Linked DNA regions of Cricetulus griseus. The protein of the gene in region 1 purifies or fractionates together with the protein of each later gene. This does not show direct contact. Links are inferred from orthologs where the notes say so. Each region holds a gene or a part of one and is shown on either strand. Other genes may lie near its edges.

Evidence for each region. The genes of interacting proteins can lie anywhere in the genome.
Region 2: the proteins of Syncrip (region 1) and Snrnp70 purify together in Homo sapiens (affinity purification with mass spectrometry; 3 studies listed by BioGRID and IntAct, counting the BioPlex papers as one, with this or other methods). This does not show direct contact. The link is inferred for Cricetulus griseus from reciprocal best matches to the Homo sapiens genes SYNCRIP and SNRNP70.

The regions. Positions count from the first base shown.
Region 1 is NC_048597.1:198,399,671-198,403,415, forward strand, and holds the start of Syncrip (heterogeneous nuclear ribonucleoprotein Q), read right to left. Parts: upstream 2,756-3,745; 5' UTR 2,561-2,755; intron 1,260-2,560; 5' UTR 1,248-1,259; coding exon 1,100-1,247; intron 406-1,099; coding exon 287-405; intron 182-286; coding exon 74-181; intron 1-73. UniProt on the Homo sapiens protein: Heterogenous nuclear ribonucleoprotein (hnRNP) implicated in mRNA processing mechanisms. Component of the CRD-mediated complex that promotes MYC mRNA stability.
Region 2 is NC_048599.1:154,300,703-154,304,366, forward strand, and holds the start of Snrnp70 (U1 small nuclear ribonucleoprotein 70 kDa), read right to left. Parts: upstream 2,896-3,664; 5' UTR 2,685-2,895; intron 2,425-2,684; exon of another isoform or gene 2,322-2,424; intron 2,048-2,321; 5' UTR 2,038-2,047; coding exon 1,891-2,037; intron 1-1,890. UniProt on the Homo sapiens protein: Component of the spliceosomal U1 snRNP, which is essential for recognition of the pre-mRNA 5' splice-site and the subsequent assembly of the spliceosome. SNRNP70 binds to the loop I region of U1-snRNA.

The DNA.
Region 1 (3,745 bases):
TGCTGCAGAGAAACACTGTCTCCAAAAACAAAACACACACACTTAAAGCTACAGAAAGTTCTCAAAAACATACCTTAATCTTTGACTCATCTGGTCCTTTACTGGAGTCCGCTACTTTGGTCCCTTGTTTCTCTCTCTGCCTGTAAGTCTTCATGACTCCACATAAAAAGGCACTTTTGTTCTGTAATGAAATTTTCCATTCATATTAACATTACTATTATGTCTGTGTCTAATTAAATTTAAATAAGATCAAAAGTACTTTTTTCTACACTGAAATTAACATTACCTGCACATGAGAGAGATCACTATCCTTAAATTGTTGAAGAACTGCCAATGCGCCGTCTTCATTGAACTCTTTTAAAGCTTCGATAGCTCTTTCATCTAAATCACTATGTGCAACTAGCCCTGGAAAGAGAAAATGTAGTTAGTTATCACCTTTTAAAATTTCCAAATTATTTCTTCAGAAAGTCCTGTATTGGCCAATACAGGTACACACACGTGGCGATTCTACTCCCCTTATCTACATAATGAAGAATATATTTTAGCCATTCTGAGCTAAGTCCTCTCAACCACACAGAAAGAAGTCAACATATTTTACATCCCATTTGTGTCCAAGTAATCCTGAACACTGCAATATTTCTACAATATATAAGCCTACAAATCCTGTCAACCAACAAAACACCAAGCATAGCAACTGCAAGTCTACTCAATGTCAAATGCCACTAGAAAAAAAGGAACCACCACACCAAGAAAAACAAGAGAACTAGCCTACAGTAACCAAGTTATTAAACAAGAACCCTGCTTTAAAAATACCCCAAAAAGTCACATGGGCTGCTCTCAACATTTAGCAGCTGTTGCTACTATCATATACTTATCTGTCAGGCCAGACAGCGTTCCCCTAAGGGAGGTCTTTTCCCCACTTCATCCCTCCCTCTACACTTTAACCTCTAGATCAAACCTAAATTAACCAACTATCAGAACAAGGCAAAGCTCCAGTTCCCACATTTATTGGAAACCACAAAAAGTTGCTATTTTAGCTCAAAGCCAGAAATCCAATAGAAAAATTTCATAATGTAATTTTGCAAGTGTTGTTTCTTACCTGCAACGTAAATTTCATCTAGTTTTTCAGCAACTTTCTGTGGTAAACCAGCATCAAGCAATGTCTGAAAATTTTCTGAATGGATAACTGCAGAAGTAGTATCCATGGGCTCTTCAGTACCATTTCCATTAACATGTTCTGTAGCCATGTTTCCAGAGATCTGTTCAAACGCAATAAGCAAAATTAAACTAGGGTCTTCAAAAAGAATAGAGGACAATGACAGTCCCAATCTTTACTTTCTACCAGTAACTACAACCAGCCAGCCTGCGCCTCCCTCGAAAGAAACCTTAAAGTCACCATCGCCTGACAAGCCAGATTTGGAGCCCGGGGTACAGACGGACCGATGCACTACATTCTTTCCTGATCACCACCCCTGACTTCACCTGCTAACACTCGCTAGGAAAAACCGTATTACAAATGAAGCCCAATCAGCACAGGGACCGGCCGAGCCTGCCACATGCAGCAGTTCCAAAACGGAGAATAAGGTGTGTGTGAAGAAAAGCAACGCTGGGCTTGTCTCTCTCCAAGGTAAACCAGAAAGTGCGCTTTTCCCGCCTGCCGCTTATAGATCAGTAACAACAGCCAGCGAAGAACAAAGCGCTCACACAAGCCACCTTCCCACCACCCAATTCCTCCACCCTTCACCCCCACACCCCAAAGCCCGCCCCCGACTCCGCACCCGGAGCGGCAGCCTCACCACTGCGGCCGCCAGGAGCCCATTAGAAACACGTGCTCTGCGCCTTCAAATGTCCTACAACTTCCTTCAACGGAAACCCACCGAGTACCGGGCCAAGGCGGTCGTCACCGCCTCTCAACATCAACCCGCAGTCGCGGTCCGAGCCCCCCGAACCGTGCAGCCGCACAATCTCGCCTCTCAACACCGAGGCCGCGGCGGCGCCAGGCCACGGGCTCTCCCCGCCCCCCAGCGCCGCCGTCTCCGCCTTGACACATGGCTCTCCGCCCCGGGTGCTCCCCAGCCGCCCGCGACCCCCGGCCTCCCGCACCCCTCGGTGCAGCGGCTGCGGGCGCCGAGGCCGACAGCCCGCGCCGGGAGGGCGTTCCGCCGCCAGGCGCACGCCCGCGGGAGCCCAGCACCGCCCAAGCCCGCCGGCCGGCCGGCCGGCCGCGGGACAGCACCCCGCGCCTCTCCGCCCACTCCCGCGCCGCCGGCCACGACAGCACCAAGTCCGCCCGCCGCTCGCGGTCCGCGCGGGCCACGGGGCTGCCGAGGCGCCTCCTCCCGGAGCGCCGCAGACAAAGCCCGGCCGCGGCAGCACATGGAGAGGAGGAAGTGGCGGCGCGGCCGCGGCCTACTCCCTGGCAGCCCCGGCCAACGTGCTCCTCTCCCCCTTGGAATCCATTTTCCAGAAAAGCCGGTTTCTCCCCGCGCCGCCCTCCCCCAAGCTCCCTCCACAATGTCATGGAGCCCCCCTCCCAGACCCGGGTGCCGGCGGTCGTTACCTCCCCGCGGGGCTGCGGCCGAGGAATCCTGTCCGACCGGGTCGGGTGGCGGGGAACGCGTGCTCGCTGCTCCCTGTGTCCGGCGCGAGTGGAGCTGTTGTAAAATGGCGGCCGAAGCTCACGCCGCTGGCAGCAAACCCGATCCAGTTCCACTCGCCTCCGAGCGCGCTCCCAGTGCGCGCGCGCGCCCCCGCGTGACCCCCCTTCCCTCCCCTCCCTGGCGCGTCCGCTTCTCTCACTCACTCCCTCAGCCCCTGCCCTCCTACAGCTCCTCCTTCTCCCCTGCCGCCGCCGCGCCGCCGCCGCCGCCGGCCGCCGGCCGCCCTGTCCCCTCGGCCTTCCTCCTTTCCCTCCCTGCACCTCCTCCCCCAGCGTCCCCACTCCCGTCCGCGGCCGCTCAGACACGAGTGGCCGCCCTTCTCTCCTCCTCGCTGGCACTCTGGCTCACGCCCTCCCTCGCTAGCTCTCTCGGCCCGTCCCCAGTCCCTGCCGAGTCGCTCTTTCTCTCTCCCGCGCTGACGTGACGACGCAGCCGACGCCTCAGGACGCGCGCCCGTGGGCTCCGCCTCCCGCCCCGCCCCTAGCTCCTGGCGGGGAGGGGGAGAGGGGAGTCGAGACCCCGCCCTTCCGCCGCGGCGGCGATGAGGGGCCAAGTGAATGAGAGACCCGCCCTCCGTGCGGACACTCCCTCGCGCTCCGCGGGCGGGGCGGCCTGCTCGGCGTGTCCCACTCGTTCTTTGTCAGGAGACAAGCATCTCCCCACCCCGCCCTCCCCGCCCCCACCGCCCCACCGCCCCGCCGCCGGCCCCCGGGCTCCGAGGGCTCCGAGGGGCTCCGGCACTAATCGCCCGCTCGGCCGGGACCTCGGCCGGGGCCGCCGCCGCACCGCCCCTGGGCGCTCGGGAAGCTGCAGGCGCACGTGTCCCCCGGGGCGGGGCGAGGCGAGGCAGACAATGGGGCTGCGGGGGGGAGCCGCACGGGGATGGCGGAGCTCCGGGCGGCCGGGTGGCGGGGCTCGAGTTCGGGAGTCACCCCGGGGAGCCCCGGCTTCCGCCGCTGGACAATGGGGCATCCCGCGGCCCGGCGCGCGCCGTCCTCCCGCTCCCACGAGTCCCCTGGGCGGAGGGAGGGGCACCGCGCGGCGGGTTCGCGAGGAAATCCCAGTGCCTCCCGCCCGGGGATGAC
Region 2 (3,664 bases), on another chromosome or scaffold:
AACAAAACACAGAAACAATTCCCTTGTATTTAGCAAAAGCATCAATCACCAGGGATGGTGGTAGTCCACGCCTTTTATCTCAGCACTCAGGAGGCAGAGGCAGGTGGATCTCTGAGATCCAGGCCAGCCTGGTCTACACAGTGAGTTCCAGGACAGCTAAGGATACACAGAAAAAAAACCTGTCTCAAAACAAAACAAAAAAGCACCTACAATGACTGGTAGACATTTGTTCTTCATCAGAGTGTAACATAAGTTACATAGCTGTAAAGTACAGTTCCAAAGCTACCTGGCAAGAAGAAGAAGAAAAAAAGCAGGGTGGTAGGGGTGCACACCTCTAATCCCAGCACTCAAGAAACTGAGGCAGTGTAGCTGGGCAGTGGTGGCACACACCTTTAGTCCCAACACTCGGGAGGCAGAGGCAGGCGGGTATCTGAGTTCTGAGGCCAGCCTGGTCTACAAGAGCTAGTTCCAGGACAGGCTCCAAAGTCACAGAGAAACCCTGTCTCAAAAACCAAAACCAAAACCAAAACAAAACAAAAAGCTACATGGCTCCCAAAGGAATTCTGCAACTCCCCACAGTTCCAAACAGAAACCCCAAAGAGTGGAGACACAAGACTTTAATCCCAGTACTTGAGTACTTGAGAGCACAAAGCCAAGTAGATGTATCTCTGCAAGCTTTAAAAAAAAAAAAAAGACAAAATGGGGCTGAAGAGATGGCTCAGCAGTTAAGAGCACCAGCTGTTCTTCCAGAGGACCTGAGTTCAATTCCCAGCACCCACATGGCAGCTCACACCTGTCTGTAACTCCAGTTCCAGGGGCTTTATGGCACCAAGGAAGCAGCATGCATATGATAAATAAGTTTTTAAAATAAATAAGTTTTTAAAAAATTCTTTTGATAGGTATTGTTTATTACATTTCTTTCTTTTTACTTAATTTTTCCGTTTATCTTACATCCAAAATAAATAAAGGAAATTAGCTGGTCCTGGAAGTGGACACCCATTAACTGCAGCATTTGGGAACCTAAGTAGGACTGGTATACCATCAAGGCCACTCTGAGCTACACTGTGGTAATGTCTTGCTTGTACAAATAAAGCCTGTTTGAGGGTCGGAGAATGAAGCTTGCCACTAAGAGGTCTGTAGATCTGTCCATTTACACTACATAGCAAAACTCTGTCTCAAAACTCAAACAAAGGGGCTAAGCACGATGGTTCTGCAAGTTAAGGCCCTTTTCACCAAAGGTAACAAACTCAGCTTGCTCTCCTGAGCCCACACAATGGAAAGAGAGATCTGATTCTTTCAAGTTGCCCCCTTATAGGTTTATAGGTTTGCACACACACATCCATACACACCACAAATACAAGTGTAATTAAAACTTAACGATGCCGGGCGTTGGTGGCGCACGCCTTTAGTCCCAGCACTCGGGAGGCAGAGGCAGGTGGATCTCTGTGAGTTCGAGGCCAGCCTGGTCTACAGAGCTAGTTCCCGGACAGACTCCAAAGCCACAGAGAAACCCTGTCTAGAAAAACGAAAAACAAAAACACTTAATGACGGGCTGGAGAGGTGACTTAGTGGGTAAGAGCACTGACTGCTCTTTCAGAGGACCAGGGTTCAATTCCTAGCACCCATATGGCAGCTTACAACTGTCTGTGATTCTGGTTCCAGGGTACCTGACATCCTTGCCAAACACCAATGCATATAAGATAAAAACTAATAAATTAAAAACTTAATATAAAAGAAATAGAACGCACACAAATGCAAAAACAAGATTAAGAAAAGTAAAATCATAAACCACAAAACTAAAATATGTTTAAAATCTCTACTCCAAAATGCAGCCTGCTCTCATTCAGCACCCAAGCCCTTCTAGTAGGCCCCATGTCTCCCTTTACTCACCTCAAATTCCCGGATGTATGGTGCAATGCCACAATAAGGTTGGTTGTGATGTTTTTCATGTGGCAGCTTTTCTAGGGGTGGCAAGTACGGGATGGGGTCTCGAGGGGCAAAGAGGGCCAGAAGGTTGGGAGGCAGAAACTGTGTCATCTTGCCAAACCTGAGACCAGAAACCTTAGGTTAGGGAACTTTAGCACAGGAGGTTCCCTCTAGAACCCCTTCACTCAAAATCAAACAAGCAGACAGGAGAGATCACGAGGACGCTGCTATCTATCCCGGGTGAGCCGGTGGAAGACATCTGCACGAAAAAGGTCGGTCTTGGCAGGAGCTGAGAAACAAAGGACTAAAAACACAGAAAACAAGGGAAAAGGAATCAGGAGGTGAGGGACCTAGAGACCTGAAGCACTAAGCTCAGAGGGTTGCTGGCCTCATACCTTGGAGATTACGAGGTAGGGGTCTCAAGGTAGTCCAAAAAGATCAAGCCAGGGGATCTGCGTAAAATATCTAGGATCCCAGAGGCGAACGGAATTATGGGTACAGATCCAGGATGCGACAAAAAAAAAAAAAAAAAAGCGAGGAAAAGAGGCAACACATAAAACGCAAGGGCCTGTGGGTAGGGGACCGCGAGAGGCAGGGGGAGGGGGACGCTGAGGGGACTCTGGGTAAAGGATGGGGTGGTTTGAAGCGCGGACCCGGTAAGCGGGCCTCAGGCGCGGGTAGAGAGTTCGGGGACCCCGCAAAGGCTTGTGGGTAGAGCGGACCCGAACCCCGTTAAGGCCACTCATTCACTCACTCACCGCGCGGCGCTCTCCTCGGCCTGACGTTAGTCTCAGGCCTCGCGGCCGCCGTTCACCAACAAAAACTCCCGCTCTGGCTTCCACTTCGGCGGCGTCTGCGTCAGCTACCTTCAGAGGTCCGCGCCGCGCGCGCAAACCAGGCCGCTCCTCACAACCCGCGCGGCCTCGGCTCGCGACAGGAACGGAGAGGGATCCGGTCTAGAATCCCTCCGCCGCACGCACCGCGCATGCGCCGCACGAGTCAAAAGACACCCATTTTGAGGTCTTGGCTCTACAGCGAGCACTGCGCACGCGCAAAGCCAAGACTCCGCCGTCAGAGTCCTTCAATGCTTAGGCTGCCTTGGCCTGGCAAGCGACGTGCGCATGCGTGCTCAGGCACTAGGTCGGCACCCACCTCGCGCTCTAGCCAACCGCCTATGCCCGCGAGACACTTACTGATGCCCCACCCCTTTCCCCTTACACTTCCCGGACCCTGTACGCATGCGTGAACGTAAAGTGCCAGGTGGAATATCCTTCCGCAGACTGTTAAAAAGTACCTACCTCATCAGGGTCATTGCTTTTATTTTATTTATTCATTTTTTTAAAGATTTATTTATTGTGTATACAGTGTTCTGTCTGCATGTGTCCCTGCAGGCCAGAGAGTGCACCAGATTTCATTACAGATGCTTCTGAGCCACCATGTGGTTGCTGGGAACTGAACTCAGGACATTTGGAAGAGCAGCCAGTGCTCTTAACTTCTGAGCCATCTCTCCATCCCGGGTCATTGCTTTTAAATTCTATTTAATGGATAAGTTCTCTCCCAAGTGTCTTGTATGTTCTAGACACTGTTTGAACTCTAGGGACACAACATGTGACAAAATAGTCTTCTTGGAGCTTACATTGTTTGGAAATATAATACGTTTGTTTAGTGGGTTTTCTTTTTTGTGTGTTCTGTTGTTTTATTTTTCTTTATTTTTTTACACAAGGTTTCACCGTTTGGC